Oryctolagus cuniculus: one gene and its partners. The protein of the gene in region 4 purifies or fractionates together with the protein of the main gene of each other region. This does not show direct contact. Links are inferred from orthologs where the notes say so. Each region holds a gene or a part of one and is shown on either strand. Other genes may lie near its edges. The genes, in order: MAP1S, SAV1, MAP1B and RASSF1.

Region 1 (4,714 bases), on a different chromosome or scaffold from region 4:
TGAAATGGCCGCAGCAGCCAGCGCGGGGCCAGGCCGCAGCCAGGAGCCAGGAGCTCCACCGGGTCTCCCATGCAGGTGCAGGGCCCAGGGACTTGGGCCGTCCTCCACTGCCTCCCCAGGCCACAGCAGAGCTGGGCCGGAAGGGGACCGAGCGGTGCGGCCAGGGGTGACAGGTGCTCCTGGGCCTCCTGGAGCGCTGCCCAGGCGCCTGCTCCGCGAGCTGGGGCGCCCCATGATGCCAACTAAGACGGCCAGGGGCGGGCGCTTGCGCAGCACGCGCACCCTGCGTGGGAGACCCGGGTGGGGCCCCCGGCTCCCGGAGCAGCCCTGGCGGCAACAGGCAGCCGCGGAGGACGCGGTGGGGGAGCGGCCACGCTCGGCTCCAGGACGGCCGGGCCTGCGTGGCCAGAGCGGAGGCGACCCCCAGGGGTCCCCGCAGGCCCCGGCCCCGGGCTCCTCCTAGCACCCGAGTCCCAGGCGGGCAGAAGCGAAGGTGGTGGCGAGGAACTGATGGCTAGAGCCGGGAGAGGGCGCTGGGGCCGAGGGCGGAGCCCACGGGATCCAGACCCCGCGCGGAGCCGTGCGGACCGGGCTGGAAGGCGTTCGGACAAGTCTACCGCTGACCGTGTCTCCAATTTTTAATACATTATCGGAGAGGGAGCTTGCAACAGCCAGGGCTGGGCCAGGCGGGGCCAGCAGCCAGGAGTCCCCTGGGCCGGCACTGCCACCTTCCAGGCCCTCAGCAGGGAGTGGGGCCCGGACTCCTCCCGACCTGACCGAGGCTGCCCAGCAGGGCCTTGACCACTGCGCCACACGGCCCGGCCCCCCAGCTCGGATTTTGATGAGGGGATCTGGCGCAGGCGCACCAGGAACCGGGAAGTGAAATCCGCGAGGGCGGGGCCTGGCCTTGATGGCTGCTAGGGGGGACCTGCTCCGGCCTGGGGGGGTGGGGGGGCGGTCCCGAGGCTTCTGACGGAGGGGCGGAGACCAGACAGACGGGGCAGCCACAGATGGGGCCCCGGGCCAGGGCCCAGCACCGTAGCGCAGCAAACTTCCCAAGATTTATTGGTTTGGGAGGCGGGTCTTGCATCCCTCAACGCCACAACAGCCAGGGCTGGGCCAGGCGCTCCATCCAGGCCCCCCACATGGGGGGACGGGACCCGGCGGGACCCTCCCCTCCCAGGGTTCGCACGTGGGGGAGCCGGGTGGGACGTGGAGCGGCCGGGACTCAAACCCGGCCGCTCCAGTCCCGGATGTGGGAGTCTGGGGAGGCACTGAGCCCGCTGCGCCCCCACAACGCTGGGTGGTTCCCCTGGGGTGCACCTGCCCCGTGGCCGTAACCCCCCCCAGACCCGCTCCCCCCACCTCTGGCTGCTCGCACTGGTCCACGCCCGGCTGACCCCTGCCCTGCGCCTTCGGGAGAGGACCCGGCCCTGCCCTGCGTCTCCGTCTCCCGTCTCCAGTGGAGCCTCTCCCGGCCCGGAACCCAGCTGGGCCGCCCCCTCCCAACGCCCTCTCGAACCCTCGTCTCAAGCAGGGTTTGGTCACCGCCAGGGGGCGCCGGCGGCCCCTCTGCTGTTGCAAGGCCCGGGGAGGAGGCCGCCGAGGCCTGGGGTCCCGCCGGAAGAAGCGTCCAGGCCGGGGTGGGGGTGCGCAGGGGCTTTATTTCCGGGGGCGGGGCTGCGGGGCGGGGGCGGGGCTAGAACTCGACCTTGCAGGCGGGGAAGGCCTCGTCCTGCATGGACACCATGCTGTTGCTGCCCAGCACCGTGACGCCCAGCGCCTGGTGCCGGCCGTGCGTGTCCTCGTACCAGCGGTGCATGGCCGCCGAGTCGAAGGTGGGGATCAGGGTCACCTGCGGGGGGGCAGTACACGGTCAGGGGCGCCCCCTCCCTCCAGGCCCCGCCCCCCGCCGGGAACGAGAAGTCCGCGCTTGACTGGCCCCTGTGAGCGTGCAGAGGCCAAGCAGAGGCGGGATGGAAGGAGCCCGACCCTCAGGGGTCCCCTCCGCCCGGAAGCCGCCTGTTCCCGCCCCACGAGGGCGTGGCCAGGAGCCAGGGGGCCCAGGGCGAGGCGGTGCGCACCTGCAGCTCGCGGTCCCACCGCTCCTTGCCGGCCAGCAGCGCGTCCAGCACGGCGCGCATCCCCTCCTCCCTGCGCTGGTCCTGGCCGCTGATGACGTAGCAGAGTGCGCGCACGCGCCGGAAGAACTCCTCGTCCACCAGGCGCGCGCCGCTCCCGCTGGGCAGGTAGGCCAGATCCAGGTAGACGGGGGAGCCGGGCGCGGCGGCTGAGCCTCCGGGCCGGCTGCCGGCGGGGCCTGAGGGCAGGAAGCGGGTCGGCGGTGAGCGAGGGCGCCCGGGGCTCCAGGCCCTCAGCGGGCTCGCAGACCACAATCCTTTAGTCAGTCTGCAATGCCAGGAGCTGCGCCTCGGGGGTCAGCCACAGGGTCAGCGAGAGCGAGAAGTCAATCAGGAAGGGCTACCTGGGGGAGGCTGCCTCCCGGAAGTGGACACTGCTGTGTGGCGTCCACTCGGGGGGGCGCGCCAGGCCCGGGGGTCATACGGACCAGGGAGCAGCCCAGCCCCCCCCATGCTGATGTGGAGCCGTGGCCTTGGCAGTCACAGGGGAAGACCCTAGGAGGTGCCGCCTCTCCACCCACGGACAAGGCCCTGAACTCCCGACCCCAGGCTGCAGCCCCCGCCCTGAGGCTGAAGAGGCCAAAGGAGGGGCCGGTGCCGGGGCTCAGCGGGTGAAGCAGCCGCCTGCCGTGTGGCATCCCACAGGGGCGCGGGTTCAAGTCCCAGCCGCTCCACTTCCGGTCCAGCTCTCTGCTGTGGCCTGGGAAACCAGTGGAAGATGGCCCAAGTGCTTGGGCCCCTGCACGTGGGAGACCGGGAAGAAACTCCTGGCTCCTGGCTCCAGCCTGGCACAGCTCTGGCTGTTCTGGCCATTTGGGGAGTGACCCAGCGGATGGAAGACCTCTCTCTCCCTCTCTGCATTGCAAATAAATTCTTAAAAAAATGCAAAAAGAGCGATAAAGGTTGGGGCAAGCAAGCAGGGCCTGCACGTGAGCCCACAGCGACACACAGACTCGGCCAACCCGGGGTGGCCCTGGTGACCGGAGCCTGGACTCGCCAGCGGCTCGGGGGCAAAACGGGGATTCACTGCCCAGGCTCCTGAGCCACGCATGGCCGGGCCGGAGCCAGCTGGGGGGGTGGGGTGGTGAACAAACACCCCCAGGCACAAACACGCTGAGCGGAGGAGACACCCCCGAACACCCGCATCCCGGGTGACCGACGCAGCGCGCCCTGACCCTGGCTGCGGGACGAGGAAGCGACCAGTACGGGGCCGGGGCTGGCGCCGGCATCCCACGTGGGCGCCGGCTCGAGTCTCGGCAGCTCCACTTCCGGGCCGCTCCCTGCTCAGTCCTGGGAAAGCAGTAGAAGATGGCCCGAGTGCTTGGGTCCCTGCACCTGCGCGGGAGACCCGGATGGAGCTCCTGGCTCCTGCCTGGTCCAATCCCAGCTCCTGTTTGGGTACCGAACCTCTCTATGCCTTGCAAAGAAAAGCCAGCGCGGGAGAAGATGCCGGAAGTCAATCAACACCTTAGTGAGCTGCCCCCCCCCCCCCCCCCCCGTGCGTCAGGGCCGCCGTTTAACTACACAAACAAACCACAGAACGACGAGGCCTAGCAAGACGCGGGGCGCCCGCAGACCCTGCCCAGCGCGGGCGGGAGCACGCAGCCCCGACGCTGAGTGACACCTGCTGCGGCCCCGCCCCCTGGGGCGGCACCCGCCTTACAGAGAAGGGGGCGCCGGCAGCCACGGGAGGACCAAGCCCAGGGCGGTGGGTGTAGCCGCCGCGTGGGGCGCCGGTCCGGTCCAGCCCGGCCCAGCCACCGGGCACCCGAGCCTCTGGGAGCTCGCGGGGCGAGGTTTCAAGCGCCTGCCACTCGCACGGGGACCGCTTGGGACGAGACCCGGAACACAGAAGACCGGACCGGGCCGGGGCCCCCACCCCCGGGACTCTGCCTCTCACCCACGCACAGATGGCCTGGCACCCACGGCAGCCGCCTGCACGCACGAAGTATACAGCCGCTTTCTGGGGCTAACGCCGCGAGAGGACCGACTCCGCGGACGTGGGGCCGCGGGAACGGAGGTACTCACCGGACGGGGCGCGGGTGGCCGTCTTGGGGGCCGAGGACTTCCTGGCCAGGGGTGCCCGGCCCCCCTTGTCGCTGGGCTCGCTGCGGGCGCTGAGCGGCCGCCCGGCGCGGTCCCCGGCCGCCAGCCCCTTGCTCTTGGCGCCGGTCGCGGGTGCGGCCTTGGGCGCGGCGGTGCGGGAGGCGGGCCGGGCCGGGGCTTTGCGTGCGCGGGCCGCGTCCTCCGGCGGCCGGGCCGACCTGGGCGGCAGCGTCTCGGGGTCCACCATGCAGAGGCTGGGCGGGTTGGGCAGCGGCAGCGGCACCTTGAGCGGCTCGGGCAGAGGGTCGCGGCGAGGGCCCGCCCCCAGGCCCTCCGTGTCCTCGTCCGAGTCGGCGGCGCCGGGGGCGGCGGGCAGGGGGTCCGAGTCGGACAGCGTGGGCAGGGACTCGCTGACCGACGTCGGCGGCGTCTCCTCGGCCCCGGGCGCGCCCGCCCGCTCCTGGGAGCGCGCGCTGCTGTCGTTGGAGCTGCCCGGGGAGGGCGCCAGCGGCACGGCCTTGCGGTGC
Region 2 (5,449 bases), on a different chromosome or scaffold from region 4:
TTATCTTCTGTTTTGAGTTATAATTACTTATTTTTAAAGGAATCCTAGTTTCAAGCTTGCTGTGTTTTAACTGGCACATTTATGTGCCTCTTTGAAATGCACTCCTTTTATGTTTAATTTTCATACATAAGATTTTGATTCTCTAAAATTTTGGTTACTTTAAAAATTTTTTTATTTTCATTTTATTTGAAAGGTAGACAGATTTTCCATCTGCTAGTTCAGTCCCCAAATGCCAGCAACAGCCAGGGCTGGACCAGGCCAAATCCATGAGTCTGGATCGTAATCCCTGTCTCCCTTAGGGTGGCAGGGACCCAGGTACTTGAGGCATCATCTGCGGCTTTCCGGGGTATGCATTAGCAGGATGTTGGACTCTTAAGTGGAGCCAGGATTTGAGCCCAGAAGCTCCACTAGGGAATGTGGCATGCCAAGTGGTGATTTACCACGGCTCCAGATACCCATCCCTGATTACTTTGGATCACTTAATGAGTGCTAGATAATTTCAAAAGTAGGAAGTTACTAATTTAAAACTTTTTAATGAAATCCACATTTACATGTTTGGGAGTAGCACTATATTGTCAGTTTTATCTTTGAAATAGTGTTTGCTTAAAAAGGATTTTTTTTTTAGGTTTATTTATTTATTTGAAATGCAGAATTAGGAGAGACAGAGATCTTCCATCTGCTGATTCACTCCCCAGATAGCTACAATGGCTAGAACTGGGCCAGGCTGAAGCTAGGAGTCTGAAACTCCTTCCAGGTCTCCCTTGTGGGTGCCAGTGGCCCAAGCACTTGGACCATCTTCTGCTGCTTTCCCAGGCACATGAGCAGGGAGCGGTATTGGAATTGGAGTAGCTAGGATTTGTGCTCATATGAGATGGTGTTGTCCAAGGCTGTGGCTTAACCTGCTGTGTTGCAACACCATCCGTGAAGAAGGCTTTTTGATAATTTCTAAATAGAAGTACAGACAAAACCATGATCATAAGTAAATTATGCTGGTAACTACATATGGATTTGTTAGGTTATTTTCTACTCTTATACATTGATCCATGAGTACTTCATTGATACATAGTTCATAAATAAGCTTATTGATATTTCTTCATCATATAGTATACAGAATATACTTGATTGTGGCTAAGCTTACACAGAACACATTCAGGCAAATTATAAATTCATTTGAGTAGGAAAATACTAATCTTTCTCAATTTAAAATGCCCAAGTACTAACTTAAACTTTAAAGTTGTTTTTTTTTAAGTATCTTGTGATTTTTTGGGTGGTTCACATAACATTTGAAAAGTTCATTGCTTACTGAAATGATAATTGTACTCTTTGTTTTATTATAGATCTGATGCCATCATTCATCCGGCATGGTCCAACAATTCCAAGACGAACTGATATCTGTCTTCCAGATTCAAACCCTACTGCTTTTTCAACTTCTGGAGATGGAGTAGTTTCAAGAAACCAGAGTTTCCTTAGAACTCCAATTCAAAGAACACCTCATGAAATAATGAGAAGAGAAAGCAACAGGTTATCTGCACCTTCTTATCTTGCCAGGAGTCTAGCAGATGTACCTCGGGAATATGGCTCTTCTCAGTCATTTCTCACAGAAATTAATTTTGCTGTTGAAAATGGAGACTCTGGTTCCCGATACTATTATTCAGATAATTTTTTTGATGGCCAGAGAAGGCGGCCACATGGAGATCGTGCACATGAAGACTACAGATACTATGAATACAATCATGATCTCTTCCAAAGAATGCCGCAGAGTCAGGGGAGGCATGCTTCAGGTAACCTGATGTTATAAATGGTCCATTACGATTATATTGACACTTTGATTAAAAGATGTTTCTTTATGAATTTTCCCGTGAAGCTGACAAAGGCTCCCAGGGAAATTCCATTTTCCATTTTGCCATTGTTGCTTAAGCCTGCCTGCAAAATAGTTATGCTTCTACACTGAATGAATTCTTGTGTCCATTTATTTTACTAACTCATGTTTTATAAACCTGGTACTTACCTCAGAGTCATCTGGATTAATATGGGCCTTGAAAACCTGGAGAATTTAATGTCTTTGGTTGGACTGAATTTAGATTTAGGTTTTATAGAATGGGAGGGTTAGACTTTTTTTTTTTTTTTTTTTTTTTGACAGGCACAGTGGACAGTGAGAGAGAGAGACAGAGAGAAAGGTCTTCCTTTGCCGTTGGTTCACCCTCTAATGGCCGGTGCGCTGTGGCCGGCGGATCGCGCTGATCCGATGGCAGGAGCCAGGTACTTATCCTGGTCTCCCATGGGGTGCAGGGCCCAAGTACTTGGGCCATCCTCCACTGCACTCCCGGGCCACAGCAGAGAGCTGGCCTTGAAGAGGAGCGACCGGGACAGAATCCGGCGCCCCGACTGGGACTAGAACCCGGTGTACCGGCGCCTCAAGGCGGAGGATTACCCTAGTGAGCCACGGCGCCGGCCCAGGGAGAGTTAGATCTTAGAAATTGGTCTGAAACCCGGGAGAGGGAAACAGGATATGAAAAAGTGGGCATGTTAGGTGATAAGCATGGTCAACTATATAACTTAGTGCAGTCTTGTACTGTTTCTCTGAACGTAACACTATCATTCAATAAGTATTTCCTAAGTTGGTCAAAAAAACTTACTGTCAAGTGGCAAACTGTGTGTTGAACATGTCTTCTTGTCATTCTTGTTGTAACAGTCAGAAATATTAGTGATTAATTAAGGAAAAAAAAGTCCATTTTCTTAATCTCCTGGCTTGGAGATACTTCTACAAGAAGAGACTGGAGAAATGTGCAATTCTGTTTTAGTCTTAAAAAGTACTGGATTACGCTGTATAAATTGAAGCAAATTGAAAGTTTTTGTGATTGATTTTTTCCTACCTAGTGAGTCTTACATTTGGCATAAAGGAAGAAATATGCGAACCAGATTAGCTTTTTAGCCCACATGACTTCAAACAAGCTGACTTAAACATTTTGGAGCGTGAGTGTTTTGACTTGGAAAAGTATTATTCATTAAGTGTTAATCATTTGTGCTTAGCATTTTCTTTGACCCTCTTAGTCTCTGTCTTGTGCTTTATTTGGGGAAATAAAACCTATATATACACAATAGTGACAGAACAATGAATTCTTACACTTTGTTATTGACTGGCCATATGATAGGGAGTCAGAAGAGAAACCATTGTGGACTGGAATAATTAAAAGAATAATTGATGGAAAAGATAGAACCTGCGCGAGTCTTTGAGCTTGGATTTTGGATTAACTGTGGCAGAATAATATTTAAAGACTGAAGTTGGGGGGCCAGTGCTGTGGCACAGTGGGTTAAGCTGCTGCTTATAGCACCGACATTGCATATGGGCACCATTTCGAGTCCTGGCTCTTCGATTTCCAATCCATCTCCCCGCAAATGTGCCTGGCCTGATGCTTGAGCCCCTGCACCCATGTGAGATAACCCAGATAAAGCGTCTGGCTTTGGCCTGGCCCAGCCCTGGCCATTGAGGCCATCTGGGGAATGAACCAGTGGACGAAAGATTCTCTCTCTCTCTCTCTCTGTGCCTCTGCCTCTAGTTCTCTGTAACTCTGCCTTTCAAGTAAATAAATAAATCCTTAAAAAAAAGTTTGAAGTTGGGAATAACCCAGTGAAAACAGAGTGGGCATGTTTTAAATTCAAAGGACTTCATAGTTGTGCCTGATTTGAAGATAAAAGCTGTAATGGGAAATGGAGATTCCTAATCCAACAGGCTTAGCGTTGAGTCCAGAAGAAGCATTGTGCATTTCAAAAAAGAAAACACAGTGATTTGATGAAAATAGTGTTTAAAGGTGAGTTTTTGTAGTAGGATTCAGGACAGAGTCTCAGAGAAACGACAATTGTAGGGGAAGTGAAAATGGACAGAGAAAGGCAGAACTATGGTGCTTTTGAAAGAGAAATGGGAATGTAATAGGAAATGAGCTTGGGAGAAAATAGATTATTAAAGTCTTGAATATTTTTTATTTATTTATTTATTTATTTTGACAGGCAGAGTGGACAGTGAGAGAGAGACAGACAGAGAGAAAGGTCTTCCTTTACCGTTGGTTCACCTTCTAGTGGCCGCTGCGGCCAGCATGCCGCGGCCGGTGCACCGCGCTGATCCGAAGCCAGGAGCCAGGTGCTTCCTCCTGGTCTCCCATGGGGTGCAGGGCCCAAGCACTTGGGCCATCCTCCACTGCCTTCCCGGGCCACAGCAGAGAGCTGGCCTGGAAGAGGGGCAACCAGGACAGAATCCGGTGCCCTGACTGGGACTAGAACTCGGGGTGCCGGCGCCGCAGGCGGAGGAGTCAAAGTAATTTTTAAAAAAGATTTTATTTGAGAAGCAGAGTTACAGGGGGGGGGGGGGGGGCGCTCTTCCATCCGCTGGTTCACTCTCCAAATGGCAGCAACAGCTGGAGCTAGGCTGATCTTAAACCAGGAGTGAAGAACTTATTCCAGGTCTCCCATGTGGATTCAGGGGCCCAAGTAGTTGGGCCATCTTCCACTGCTTTCCAGGCCATAGCAGAGAGCTGGATCATAAGAGCAACAGGGACATGAAATGGCACACATATGGAATGCATGTACCACAGGCTGGAGGCTTAGCCTACTTTACCACAGTGCCAGTGCCAAAAAGTAAATTTTTAAAAGCAAATCTGGGGGTTTGTGTTGTGGTGCAGTGGTTTAAGCTGCCATCTACAACACTGGCATCCCATATGGGTGCTGCTCCACTTCCGATCCAGCCCCCTGCTAATGCGCCTGGGAAGGCAGGGGAAGATGCACCCAATATTGGGAGACTCCGATGTGATACGAGGCTCCTGGTTTCGGTCTGGCCCAGCCCAGACAGTTGTGCCATTTAGGGAATGAATAGTAGATGGATGGAAGATCTCTCTGTTTCACCCCCCCCCTCTCTGTAATTCTGCCTTTCAAATAAATAAAAATAAAAAAATAAAGCCGATTTATATTTTCCTTTAGAGTAATAACTTCTTATAGGGAGTTTGCAAAATGTGAAAAGTAAAAGTAACCATCTACCAGAAAGTCTAAGTGTATTAATTATTTCTTTTATCTTTTTCTGTGCTAGATTTCTTTTTTTTTTGTATTTATTTTTTTGTATTTGTAATTGTATTTGTAATTGTAACTCTGTACAGTTTCATATCCTTGTTTTTTATTTGAATGAGTTTCCTAATGTTACCCACTTTAAGTAGTTTTAATGATTGCATAATTTTCTATTGGGTGCATATTCAGTGATTAATTTTTTTAAGTTTTATTTATTTATTTGAAAGAATCAATGGGGAGAGGAAGGGAGAGATCTTCTATCTGCTGATTTATTCCCCCAAGGATTGCAGCAGCCAGGGCCAGGCAGGTCTGTAGTCATGAACCAAGAACCTATCCAGGTGTCGATGTGGGCGGCAAGACTCAAGTATTTGAGATGTTATTTCCTGTTTCCCAGGCTTAT
Region 3 (5,449 bases), on a different chromosome or scaffold from region 4:
CCGGCCTCGGAGGACTCCTCAAAGCCCGCTCCTTCGTCCTCGAACCTCTCAGTGTCCTCCACGCCTGGCTTCTCGGCCGGCTCCAGCTCCTCGGGGGTCTGCTCGCACTCGCCCTCCCCTTCGGTGGTCGTGATGCCCTCGTCGGGGGACTCGGCGGGGCCTTGGATGACCTCCGTGTGCTTCTGAAGGGCGTAGGCCTCCCCGGCCTCGCTCTCCTTCCGCTTCGCGTCCTCGTCGATCAGCTCCAGCTGAGGCTTCAGGGCCTTCGCCACATCCACCTCTTCAGCCTTCAGCTCCTCGAAGTCCTTGGTGAGATCCTCGGGGGACGACATGAGGGACCGCTCGGCCTCGAGCTCCCTCAGGGGGCCGGCGGCGGCCACGGCGGCCACGGCGGCGCCCACAGCGGCGGCGCCCACGGCCACGGCGGCCTCGGCCGTCTTGCCCTCCTTCTTGATAACTTTGACTTTGGCCTTCTCCTTGGGCTTCCCGGCAGCCGCCGCGTCTTTCTTGACCGGTTCCTCCTTCTTGGGGACTTTGGGCTTCAACGCAGCAGGTTTTTTCGCTTCCGAGAGAGGAGTGGCTGGTTTCTTCGTGTCTTTGGGGAGCTTCTTAATTTCCTTTTTAGGTTCTTTGTCTTCCTTTTTCACCTCCTTCTTCTCTTCCTTCTTCACCTCCTTCTTGGCTTCCTTCAGGGGCGTTTCTTTCTTCACCTCCTTCTTGGGCTCCTTCTTCTCCTCCTTCTTGATTTCCTTCTTGACTTCCTTCTTCACCTCCTCCTTTTTCGGTTTCTCCTCCTTTTTGACGGGCGTCTTGTCCTCCTTCTTCGCCACTTCCTTCTTCGGCTTTTCCTTCTCGTCTTTCTTCTCGTCGGGTTTCGCCTTTACCTCCTTTTTCACGGTCTTCTCCTTGGAGACCTTGGGCTTGACGTCGGCGGCTTGCTTGTCCGCCACCTCGGCTTTGACGGGAGGCTGCTCCTCTTTGCTGGGCGCCTCCTTGTCCACGGCCGCTGGTTTGGGCTCCGTTTTGACCGGCTTGTCTTTTTTCACGGTCACCTTTTCTTTGCTTTCCACTTTGGGCGGCTTTTCTACCTGGTTCGCTTTGGGGACCTCCGGGGCTTCCTCTTTCGACTCCTTTCGCACGGTTTTGCTGGGAGCTGGTTTTGCAGCTGGCTTCAGATTTTCTCTGCTGTCAGCCCTCTGTTTGAGTTTCACTTGTTTCACGGCGGGAGCCGGCACCTGGCCAGTCAGATCCTTCTGGGTGGCCAGCGGCTGCTTCAGGAAGTCCAAATGTTTGAGTTTTTCCAGCCCTTCCAGGATGTTGTATTGGGTGCTGTTTCCAGGAAAGAGGACGCGGATGATTTTCTCGGCCGGGTTTGCTGGATGCCACACGATCAGCGAGGAGACTGAAGTTAAGTAGGGGATCGGGATATCTACTTCCTGACCATTGGGCAGGATCAGTTCCGCCTTGTCTTTGTTGGTGCCAGTCCACTGCTGCATGAAATACTGCATTTCCTTGCTGCTCTTGACTGGGTTAAGCACATACATCTCTAGTTTCCCCACCCCCATCTTTTGGAAAAGAATGACAGGATCGATGGTATTGCCTACACTTCTAAAGAGAGGTTCTGGCTTCATGGACAACTTGTTCAGGTACTGGAGGGTGAAGCACGCTTCCTCCAGGCTCCTCTTCATCTTCATGTTGGGCTCGGGAGTCTTCAGGTTTTCAGGGACGTTGAGAAAGACGACGCCCAAGTCAGGGGAGATGAGGTTTTTCATCCAGTCGCTGTTGGTGGTGGAGCCCTGCGACTGCTCCTCTTCCAGCTCGGCGATTTTCCGCTGCAGCATGCTGTTTATGCCGGGCAAGTTGTCATCCCCGATGTGGGTGAGCAGGATGGAGTCCACGCGGTCCAGGTGGCGGATGAGTTTCCAGAAGCAGGACTTCCTCTCCGAGCCGCCGTTGATGAGCATGTTGAATCCGTTCACCGCGAACAGGGCGGAGTCGCCCCTGCCTCCGGGGAAGATGTAACAGCAGGGCTTGGAGAGCTTCAGAAAGCCCCCGGATGTGGGAGGTTCCAGGATGTCAAAAGGGGACAGGACTTCCACTGACTCCGAGAGGTACTCGGTGAACTCAGAGAGTCCTTCCATTTCTGGCAATATAGACGCTGAGTTGAGTTTAATGTTGATGAAGTCTTGCAGATTGTGTCTGTCCAGGTTGGAGTTCTTCCAATCCCCTTCTTCGGGGCAGAACAGGGTTAAGCTGGCTTTGTTGGCAGGATGGGTAGTGCTCAGTAACTCTCCAATCTGGAATTGAACAAAAAGAAGAAGGGGGGGGGTTTGGGTGACTGACTGTCATCACTGTTCCATCATCTCTGCCTCCAGAGGGTGACACAGGATGCCTGGCTGCACAGAGCTGTAGCCGTGTAGTGATGCTTGTTGTATACATCCTAAAACACCTGCATGCAAGACGGTGCATGGCCCCTGGCCCGAGCATCCCCTGCACCCCAGAACCTGGCTCCAGTTCTGAGGCCACCAGCTGCATGGACTATCCGTGCATGTACTACTTTGCATGCTCCCTGATGCACTTGTCATGCACAGGTGCTCTTTAAAAAATACTGAACCATCACGGGAGAAAGCTACGTGAGTCATTTCCTCACTGATACTGCAAGGTCATTTCTTTTAATCCCCTCGGCTTGGCAAGTGGTAGACGTGTGATGGACACGTTAAAGAAGTGCCGGTAATAGTGCACTTCTTGTCTCCTTTTAGAATTTGACAGATACAAAAAGAAAAATGTCTGGTGAGGTCTCCCCCCGTGGGACACAGGAAGGTATTGATTGCCCAGGACTACAGAAAATGATTGGTTTCTGGCACCAATGCCCAATATTTAAAACATGAGTGGTTCACCCAGCAGATTCTCCGTGAATACAAATGCTTTTACCGAAGCCCTGATGATTAAACTGATTGAGTAAATTGTACAAGCCAATGACCAGATACGATCCCCATTTGCTCCGTCTCTGTTGCTTTGCTTATCAAATAAAAATAAATGAACACTTGACAATAAATAAACATGAGCAAATGCTTATTAGTATTCCAGTATGGGAAGTGGGTATCCCAAATGCCTGCCCCTGTTTGTGCTTAAATCCAACGAGAGACACTCTGCTGGCTTTCTGCTCTCATTCTTTCCTTTTTGAAAACTTAAAAAAAATTTGAAAGGCAAACAGACAGAGATCTCCCATCTGCTGGTTCATTCCCAAATGGCCAGACAGCCAAGGATGGGCCAGATCAAAGCCAGGAGCTGAGAATTTAGTCCTGGTCTCCCATGTGGGTGGCAGAGATCCAACTATTTGAGCCATTGCTGCTGCCTCCCAGTGTGCACATTGGAGGAAGCTGGAATCTGGAGTGGAGCCAGGACTCAAACCCAGGGACTCTGAGATGGGATGCAGGTGTCCCAGGCGGCACCTTCCCTGCGCCCTCCCATTCTTTTCCAACGGAGCAGGGTTTGAGTGGCTAAGCTCACATTTGGTTCCGATGCTTTTTAATGCATTGTTTAGTACTTCCCGAGGATGGGAATGTGGAAAAGCAAATGGGGACCAAAACGGTGATTATGGTTTAACGAAAGCACTCTTTTCTTTCTTGCTCCATGTTAAGGCCAGATGGTCTTAGTTTAGCAAATTGTGAGGGAAAGTCATGCTGTAAATTCAGGCCTTCTTTCTGTTTCAGCAGAGTTCATAATGCAGCCCAGGAGGTCACCCAAGAAGTGCCCTGCGTGCTGGACAGGCAGTGAGGAAGGGGCAAGGCAAAAGGTTTTCCTTGGTGCAGCCATCGCTACCTGACAGCTCGGGACTCTCACCTGCCAGGATCAGAGGGATCACCTCTGTGTCACTATTAGAATATTAACATTCAGAGGCCGTGTGTGTGTGCATGCGTGTGTGAGAGAGATAAGGATAATTCACACAATCTGAATTTTCCTCTACTAGGCTGCACTCAATCTTGTCATAAGCCTATTAATTCTAGCATCGCGTTTTAAGTGAAGAGTCACAAAACGGCACAATAACGAAACATTGCTGCTTTCCTCTGACTTCACTTCGAATGCTCCCACATAAAAGGGATGGGACCAAAGCCCTGTTCTGGAAGCTGAGAAAACCGAGAAAGCAAATGGTAACCACCACTGGGGAGGATCTTTGCTCAAATTATTTGTTGGCCGAAGAAAACATGAGCACCAAATGCGCTTTCATGTCTGATATTTGGCAGAGACCCTCATCATCACTGCTGCCACACGACTGGCCTTCTGCCGGTCCTGATCGTCACACAGAACACCGGCAGATTCTTCATGGTTTCCAATACATGCTTAGGGGCAAATCCAAGAAAACTCAAACTGCTGAGTCTTTCATGGATAAGTTTTATTTATTTCATTTATTTTTCAGAGGCGAAGAAAAAGAGAGCTCCCATGCACCAGTTCACAACCCAGATGTCCACAGCAGCCAGGGCTGGGCCAAAGCCTGGAACTGAGAACTCAATACAGGTCTCCCACATGGGTGGCAGGGACCAAGCACTTGAGCCATTACTGCTGCCTCCCAGGAGGGCACAGTAGCAGGAAGCTGGAGTCCGGAGGGGAGCAGGGGTTGGAACCCAGGCACTTTGATGTGGGATGTGGGCGTTCTAAGTGACATCTTAACCACTGCCTGCCCCTTAGAGTGGATTTTTTAAAAATTACATTTAGTTCATTCTAACTTTTGAAATTCTACCCTAGCTGAGAGGTATTGGGATAGGGTAGGGGTGAGGGAGTGTCAAGGATAGAATCCGGCTGAGTAGGGGTGTTCAATCCCTAGTTCTTTTTTTAAGAAAGATTATTTATTTAGAAAGATGAGAGTGGGAAAGAGAGGGAGAGAAAGGCAGCTCTTCTACCCACCGCTTTAGTCATTACAGCCCATTAATGTAATGGCTGCCCATTACAGCCAGGGCTGGACCAAGCCAGAGGCCCAGAATTCCATCCTGGTCTCTTGTGTGTGGCAGGATCCAAGCACTTTAGCCATCACCTGCTGCCTCCCAGGGTTAACATTAGCAGGAAACTGTACCGGAAGTGGAGGCAGGACTCCATCCCAGGCACTCCGATGCAGATGCAGCCATCAGAAGTGGCGGCTTCATCCACTGCATCAAACACCTGCCCCCGTCACTAGCTTTTTTCTGTGAGGTGTGAAGTCACAAGGTTCAAAGAGCAGGCAACGGGACACAGGAGCATCTCCCTGCGGTCCATTATTTTACCTCTACCCAAAGAGTTTCTACAAAATGCAGGGCATGATCCAAAGCAAAAACACAGAAAAGCCATGAAAGCAACAGCAGAGAGAGGTCAGGGAACAGAAAACTATAATGTCCAAGGCAAAGCAGAAAAGGAAGTCTGCACTGCTGGACTAGTGTCTAGCGAGAGGGAAAAGCCCTCCCCCTGGAGAAGAGTGACA
Region 4 (5,449 bases):
CGCCCCTGCTACAAGCCTAGGGCAGCCCTGGCTCCCTCCAACCCAGTACAGGACGGGCTGAGGGCTGCAAAGCCAGGCCCCGCTAAACCCGCTGCTGGACACGGGGCCAGCCCCTCGGCTGTCGGCTCGGCTCCTTCTCCCCAGGGCAGGGCCTCCCCCCGCACTCACGCCTCAGGCCCCAGGGGCCCGGTCACACTCACACAGCACACGCTGGGCGCTGCCTACTCTCCTGCCATCCAGGGGTCACGGTCACCCCACGGGGCAGGCGTGCAGGGCCTCCTGGATCTTCTGCCGGCAGCGGGAGTACTTCTGCAGGATCCGGCGGAGGTGCTCCTCCTCCTCGCGCTGCAGGATGCGCAGGAAGTTGTGCAGCTCGGGCATGCTGAAGGCGTCCCACTGCAGAGGGCAGAGCACAGGCTCCAGCAGCTGCAGCCGCCCCAGGGAGGACCCGGACCCCGGGCCGCACCTGCTGGCATCAGGTGTTCCCCCAGGAGTCTCGTGCCCAAACAGCCTGCACGAGAAGCCCACCAGCTGTCAAACAGAAGCCAGACCTGACCAAACCGGCACCCAAGCAGGCTTTTCTCCATGGGCCCCAAACCTGGGAGCCATAAAGACTCCAGGCAAGCAGTCGTAACGCCTGAGGGATGGGTGGGGGGTGGGGGCTTCCTAGCTCCATCGGGTTTTCCACAGCACCAGGACAGCTCTTCCTGGCTCCTTGGGCTTGCCCTAGACCTTGGCCTGACAGGCCTGGAAGCCCTTCCTTTCGTTGCCCTGGGGAGGCTGTACAGGGCTTGTCTCTGTTCATTAAAAGCAGGAAACTGAGCAGGACTGGGTACTCACGTTCACCTCCCCGGAGTCATTTTCCTTCAGGATGAAGCTCAAGTCCTTCTCATTCGGTCCTGCCAGGAGCCGAAGCTGCAGGGGCTGTTCGTCATCCGCCAGCTTCCGGAAGTAGACTGCAGCCCAGGCCGGGGGAAAGAGGTGTGAGATCAGAGGTCCTGCTGCCTCCACTCCCGCAGGCACAGGGGCAGGCACAGGGGCAGGCACAGCCTAGAGGTCTTTAAAAAGCTCATGAAAAGACTGCTTCATTGGGACTGGTGCTGGGGCATCCCACATGGGTGCCGGTTCAAGTCCAGCTGCTCCACTTCCAATCCAGCTCTCTGCTGTGGCCTGGGAAAGCAGAAGAGAAACTCCCGGCTTCGGTTCGGCACAGATCTGGCCAACTGGGGAGTGAACCAGTGGATGAAGACTCTCTCTGCCTCTCCTCCTCTTTGTGTAACTTTCCAATAAATCTTTAAATCAAATCAAATAAAAAAAGTGGTTTTTGTTTGTTTGTTTGTTTTTTGTTTTTTTACAACAAAGTCTTCCAGCCGCTGGCTTACTCCCCAGATGGCCGCAACAGCCGGAGCTATGCCAAACCGAAGCCATGAGCTGCTTCCAGGTCTCCCACACGGATGCAGGGGCCTGAGGACTTGGGCCACCTTCTGCTGCTTTCCCAGGCCATAGCAGAGAGCTGGATCAGAAGCGGAGCAGGCCAGGGCGTTAACCCACTGCGCCAGCCCTGAGTTACCTTTTGAAAATACACAATGTGGGGGCCGGTGCTGTGGCGTAGCAGGTAAAGCTGCTGCCTGCAGTGCTGGCATCCCATATGGGCACCAGTTCAAGTCCCAGCTGCTCCCTTCCACTCCAGCTCTCTGCTGTGGCCTGGGAAAGCAGTGGAAGATGGCCCAAGTCCTTGGGCCCCGGCACCCATGTGGGAGACCTGGAAGAAGTTCCTGGCTTCAGATTGGCCACAACAGCTGGCCAACTGGGGTGTGAACTCTTCACTCTGCCTCTCAAATAATCAATTTTAAAAAAAAAATACATAGAGTGGTGCCTCAAGAAGCCCTCTTTTAGGGCCGGCGCCACAGCTCACTAGGCTAATCCTCCGCCTGCGGCGCCGGCACACCGGGTTCTAGTCCCGGTCAGGGTGCCGGATTCTGTCCCAGTTGCCCCTCTTCCAGGCCTGCTCTCTGCTCTGGCCAGGGAGTGCAATGGAGGATGACCCAAGTGCTTGGGCCCTGCACCCGCATGGGAGACCAGGAGAAGCACCTGGCTCCTGTCATCGGATCAGTGTGGTGCGCCAGCCGCAGCGGCCATTGGAGGGTGAACCAACAGCAAAGGAAGACCTTTCTATCATCCACTCTGTAAAAAAAAAAAAAAAAAAGCCCTCTTTTAAGCCTAGAGGGATTCGTTTTCCACTGTTTCTAATCACTAATGCCTCGATAAATTCGCTTTTTCTAAACTATACCTGGACTTCAAATCTCTTGTGTACCAACATAAGCCAAGCTTCTAATTCCCTTTTCCACAGACCTCCTGAAGCATCCTCACGGGGTGTGTGTCGGGGGGAAACACACCTTGGCCATGACGCTCGGCTCGCTCAAAGAGGGCGAACTTGCGGGGGTCGTCCACCACCAGGAACTTGCGGAGCAGGGCCTCGATGACCTCCCGGGCCCGGGTGTGAGACAGCACGTGTAGGTGCTTGACGGCGTCCTTGGGCAGGTAGAAGGAGGTGTGGCGCTTCACGGCTGTGCCCCGTGCTGGGCCCCGGCGAGCATCCTGCAAGGACGGGGGCTTCTTGCTGGAGGGCACGGACACGGGCCGGGCCAGTTTCAGCTGGACCTTGATGAAGCCGGTGTAGGAGCCATCCTTGTTCTAGAGAGAAACAAACTCAACCATGACCTAGCTGCCGGGAGACACGGAACACCCTAGGGCTAGGCTGGGTGTTGCCAAAGTGGCTGTCTGAGCCTACCACGGCTGCCCCTCCGCAGACCCCCGCCAGAGCACTGCACTCACCAGGCTCATGAAGAGGTTGCTGTTGATCTGGCCGTTGTACTCCTTGATCTTCTGCTCAACCTCAGCCTGAGAAAGATCAGGCTTCTCCCACTCCACGTGCTCGTCCTAAACAAACAGGCCAGGGGCAGGTGTTTGGTCTAGGGGCTAACATGCCAACTGCCCCCACCCGAGTGCCTGGATGCAAATCCAGGCTCTGTTCCCGATTTCAGATTCTTGCTAATGCAGACTCTGGGAGGCCGCAAGTGATGGCTCAAATACTTGGCTCCCTGACACCCATGTGGGAGACCTGCTTTGAGTTCTTGTCTCCTGACTTCAGCCTGGTCCATAGAGTGGGGAGTGAAATCAACAGATGAGGGATCTCTGTTTCTTAAATAAAAGTCAAACGGGCTGGTGCTGCGGCGTAGTGGGTAAAGCTGCCACCTGCAGTGCCGGCATCCCATATGGGTGCCAGTTCGAGTCTCGGCTGCCCCACTTCCAATCCAGCTCTCTGCTATGGCCTGGGAAGGCGGTGAAGATGGCCCAGGTCCTTGGGCCCCTGTACCCATGTGGGGAGACCCATAAGAGGCTCCCGGCTCCGGACTGGCGCGGCTCCAGCTACTGTGGCCAGCTGGGGAATGAACCAGCGGACGGAAGAGCTCGCTCTCTGTGCCTCTCCTTCTCTGACTTTCAAATAAATCACTCCTACAAAAAAAAAAAAAAAAGTCAAAAAGATGAGCACCATGGACACAGGACCCTTGAATACATGGCTTCTCTGAAAAATGCTCTTGGAAATTGACTTCCTGATGTACACAGATGCCCAGAATCAGCCATCCTGGCTGGCGCAGTGGCAAAGTAGGTTAAGCCTCCACCTGCAGCACCAGCATCCATATGGGTGCAGGTTTGAGTCCTGGCTGCTCCACTTTAAATCCTGAACTTGTCACTGTTTTTTTTTGACAGGCAGAGTGGACAGTTGGTTCACCCTCCAGTGGCTGCCGCAGCCGGCTCACCACGCTGATCCGAAGGCAGGAGCCAGGTGCTTCTCCTGGTTTCCCATGGGGTGCAGGGCCCAAGCACTTGGGCCGTCCTCCACTGCACTCCCTGGCCACGGCAGAGAGCAGGCCTGGAAGAGGGGCAACCGGGACAGAATCCGGCACCCTGACCGGGACTAGAACCCGGTGTGCCGGCACTGCCATGGCGCCGGCCACTCGTCACTGTTAAAAAAAAAAAAACTTTTAAAGATTTTATTTCATAGGCAGAGTTAGAGAGGTAGAGACAGACAGAAAGGTCTTCCATCCAACCAGTTCACTCCCCAGATAGCCGAAATGGCCAGAGCTGTGCCGCTCCAAAGCCAGGAACCAGGAGCTTCTTGCAGGTCTGCCACACAGTGCAGGGGCCCAAGCACTTGGGCCATCTTCTACTGCTTTCCCAGGCCGCAGCACAGAGCTGGATCGGAAGGGGAGCAGCTGGGATTTAAACCAGCGCCCATATGGGATGCGGGCACTGCGGGCTGGGGTTTTAACCCGCTGTGCTACAGTGGTCACTGCTCCTGATTCTGGACACTGTGAGTGAAGCCAGCAAAGGCGGAATCATGCGGCTGCTCTCCAGCACGCAACAGAGCTCCAGGGAAACCACAGAATCAGGGGCAGCTGAGGCCAGAGGCCAAGACGACGGAGGATTCCGAGGAGGGACGCCTGCCTCAACTGCATGGCCTACCCCAGGACTCTGGCTGGCTTGGCGTCAGGATGTTTTTGGAGATGGCAGCCCTTTTTTCCACTTTGCCCCAGCCAAGGGCCAGGACCCACTGTGACACAGGATGTGAGGGAACTGGTACAGTTCAGCGGCTCCACCACCAGCTGGCAGGACAGTTAGCGTCATCTCGCCATCAACACCGCTGCGGGGAGCTGGGGCCAGAGCTCGCATCTCACAGTGCTGCACGAAGGCTGCGGCAGGCCAGGCTCCGCGCTGCCCGATACACAGGCCAGTGTCTGAAGAGAGCCTGCCCCACAAATGCCAAGCAGGTGGGTTCTGTGCCTCCCCTGTTGTCTGAAGCTTAGCCCAAAGAACGCAGCCGCACTACGCACTGCCCTCCTCCCCTGCAGGGACGGGACTCCCATCAGAAGGGTGGAGCACCAACTCTCTCCTACCCAACTCCCTCGCTCCGCTGCTTCAGCTTTCCTTCCTGTTGACGTCACACTCGTCCCAGTCGGAACGGGAGTGTCACACACAGCTGAGATCACCACAGACCAATGCCGTGTCCCATGGGAACTGCCATCAGGTCTCTTCTAGAATGACTGTGTGCTCACTTAAGCACAGGGACAGCCAGGGTTTGACCTTTTGGAAAACTGGAGATCTGTAAGCTACTTTAACTAGCAGAGAAAAACTCGGGCCAGAGCTGTGCTGTGGTGGGTGAGGCTGCTGCCTGCAGTGCCAGCAAACCATATGGGCGCTGGTTTGTGTCCTGGCTTCTCCACTTCCGGTCCAGCTCCTGGCTAATGTGCCTGGGAAAGCAGCAGATGGCCCAGGTCCTTGGGCCCCTGCACTCCTGTGGGAGACCCAGAAGAAGCTCCTGGCTTTGGATCAGCCCAGCTCCGGCCGTTGCAGCCATCTGGGGAGTGAACCAGCAGACAGAAGACTT

Evidence for each region.
Region 1: the proteins of RASSF1 (region 4) and MAP1S purify together in Homo sapiens (affinity purification with mass spectrometry; 4 studies listed by BioGRID and IntAct, counting the BioPlex papers as one, with this or other methods). This does not show direct contact. The link is inferred for Oryctolagus cuniculus from reciprocal best matches to the Homo sapiens genes RASSF1 and MAP1S.
Region 2: the proteins of RASSF1 (region 4) and SAV1 purify together in Homo sapiens (affinity purification with western blotting; 3 studies listed by BioGRID, with this or other methods). This does not show direct contact. The link is inferred for Oryctolagus cuniculus from reciprocal best matches to the Homo sapiens genes RASSF1 and SAV1.
Region 3: the proteins of RASSF1 (region 4) and MAP1B purify together in Homo sapiens (affinity purification with mass spectrometry; 3 studies listed by BioGRID and IntAct, counting the BioPlex papers as one, with this or other methods). This does not show direct contact. The link is inferred for Oryctolagus cuniculus from reciprocal best matches to the Homo sapiens genes RASSF1 and MAP1B.

The regions. Positions count from the first base shown.
Region 1 is NC_091447.1:65,422,663-65,427,376, reverse strand, and holds the end of MAP1S (microtubule-associated protein 1S), read right to left. Parts: coding exon 4,170-4,714; intron 2,321-4,169; coding exon 2,085-2,320; intron 1,856-2,084; coding exon 1,700-1,855; 3' UTR 1,645-1,699; downstream 1-1,644. UniProt on the Homo sapiens protein: Microtubule-associated protein that mediates aggregation of mitochondria resulting in cell death and genomic destruction (MAGD). Plays a role in anchoring the microtubule organizing center to the centrosomes. Binds to DNA. Plays a role in apoptosis.
Region 2 is NC_091443.1:25,507,852-25,513,300, forward strand, and holds part of SAV1 (protein salvador homolog 1), read left to right. Parts: intron 1-1,337; coding exon 1,338-1,781; intron 1,782-5,449. UniProt on the Homo sapiens protein: Regulator of STK3/MST2 and STK4/MST1 in the Hippo signaling pathway which plays a pivotal role in organ size control and tumor suppression by restricting proliferation and promoting apoptosis.
Region 3 is NC_091445.1:38,781,680-38,787,128, forward strand, and holds part of MAP1B (microtubule-associated protein 1B), read right to left. Parts: intron 2,298-5,449; coding exon 1-2,297. UniProt on the Homo sapiens protein: Facilitates tyrosination of alpha-tubulin in neuronal microtubules. Phosphorylated MAP1B is required for proper microtubule dynamics and plays a role in the cytoskeletal changes that accompany neuronal differentiation and neurite extension.
Region 4 is NC_091441.1:98,983,548-98,988,996, reverse strand, and holds part of RASSF1 (ras association domain-containing protein 1), read right to left. Parts: intron 4,026-5,449; exon of another isoform or gene 4,008-4,025; coding exon of another isoform or gene 3,822-4,007; intron 2,941-3,821; coding exon 2,836-2,940; intron 2,695-2,835; coding exon 2,397-2,694; intron 957-2,396; coding exon 841-956; intron 397-840; coding exon 250-396; 3' UTR 1-249. UniProt on the Homo sapiens protein: Potential tumor suppressor. Required for death receptor-dependent apoptosis. Mediates activation of STK3/MST2 and STK4/MST1 during Fas-induced apoptosis by preventing their dephosphorylation.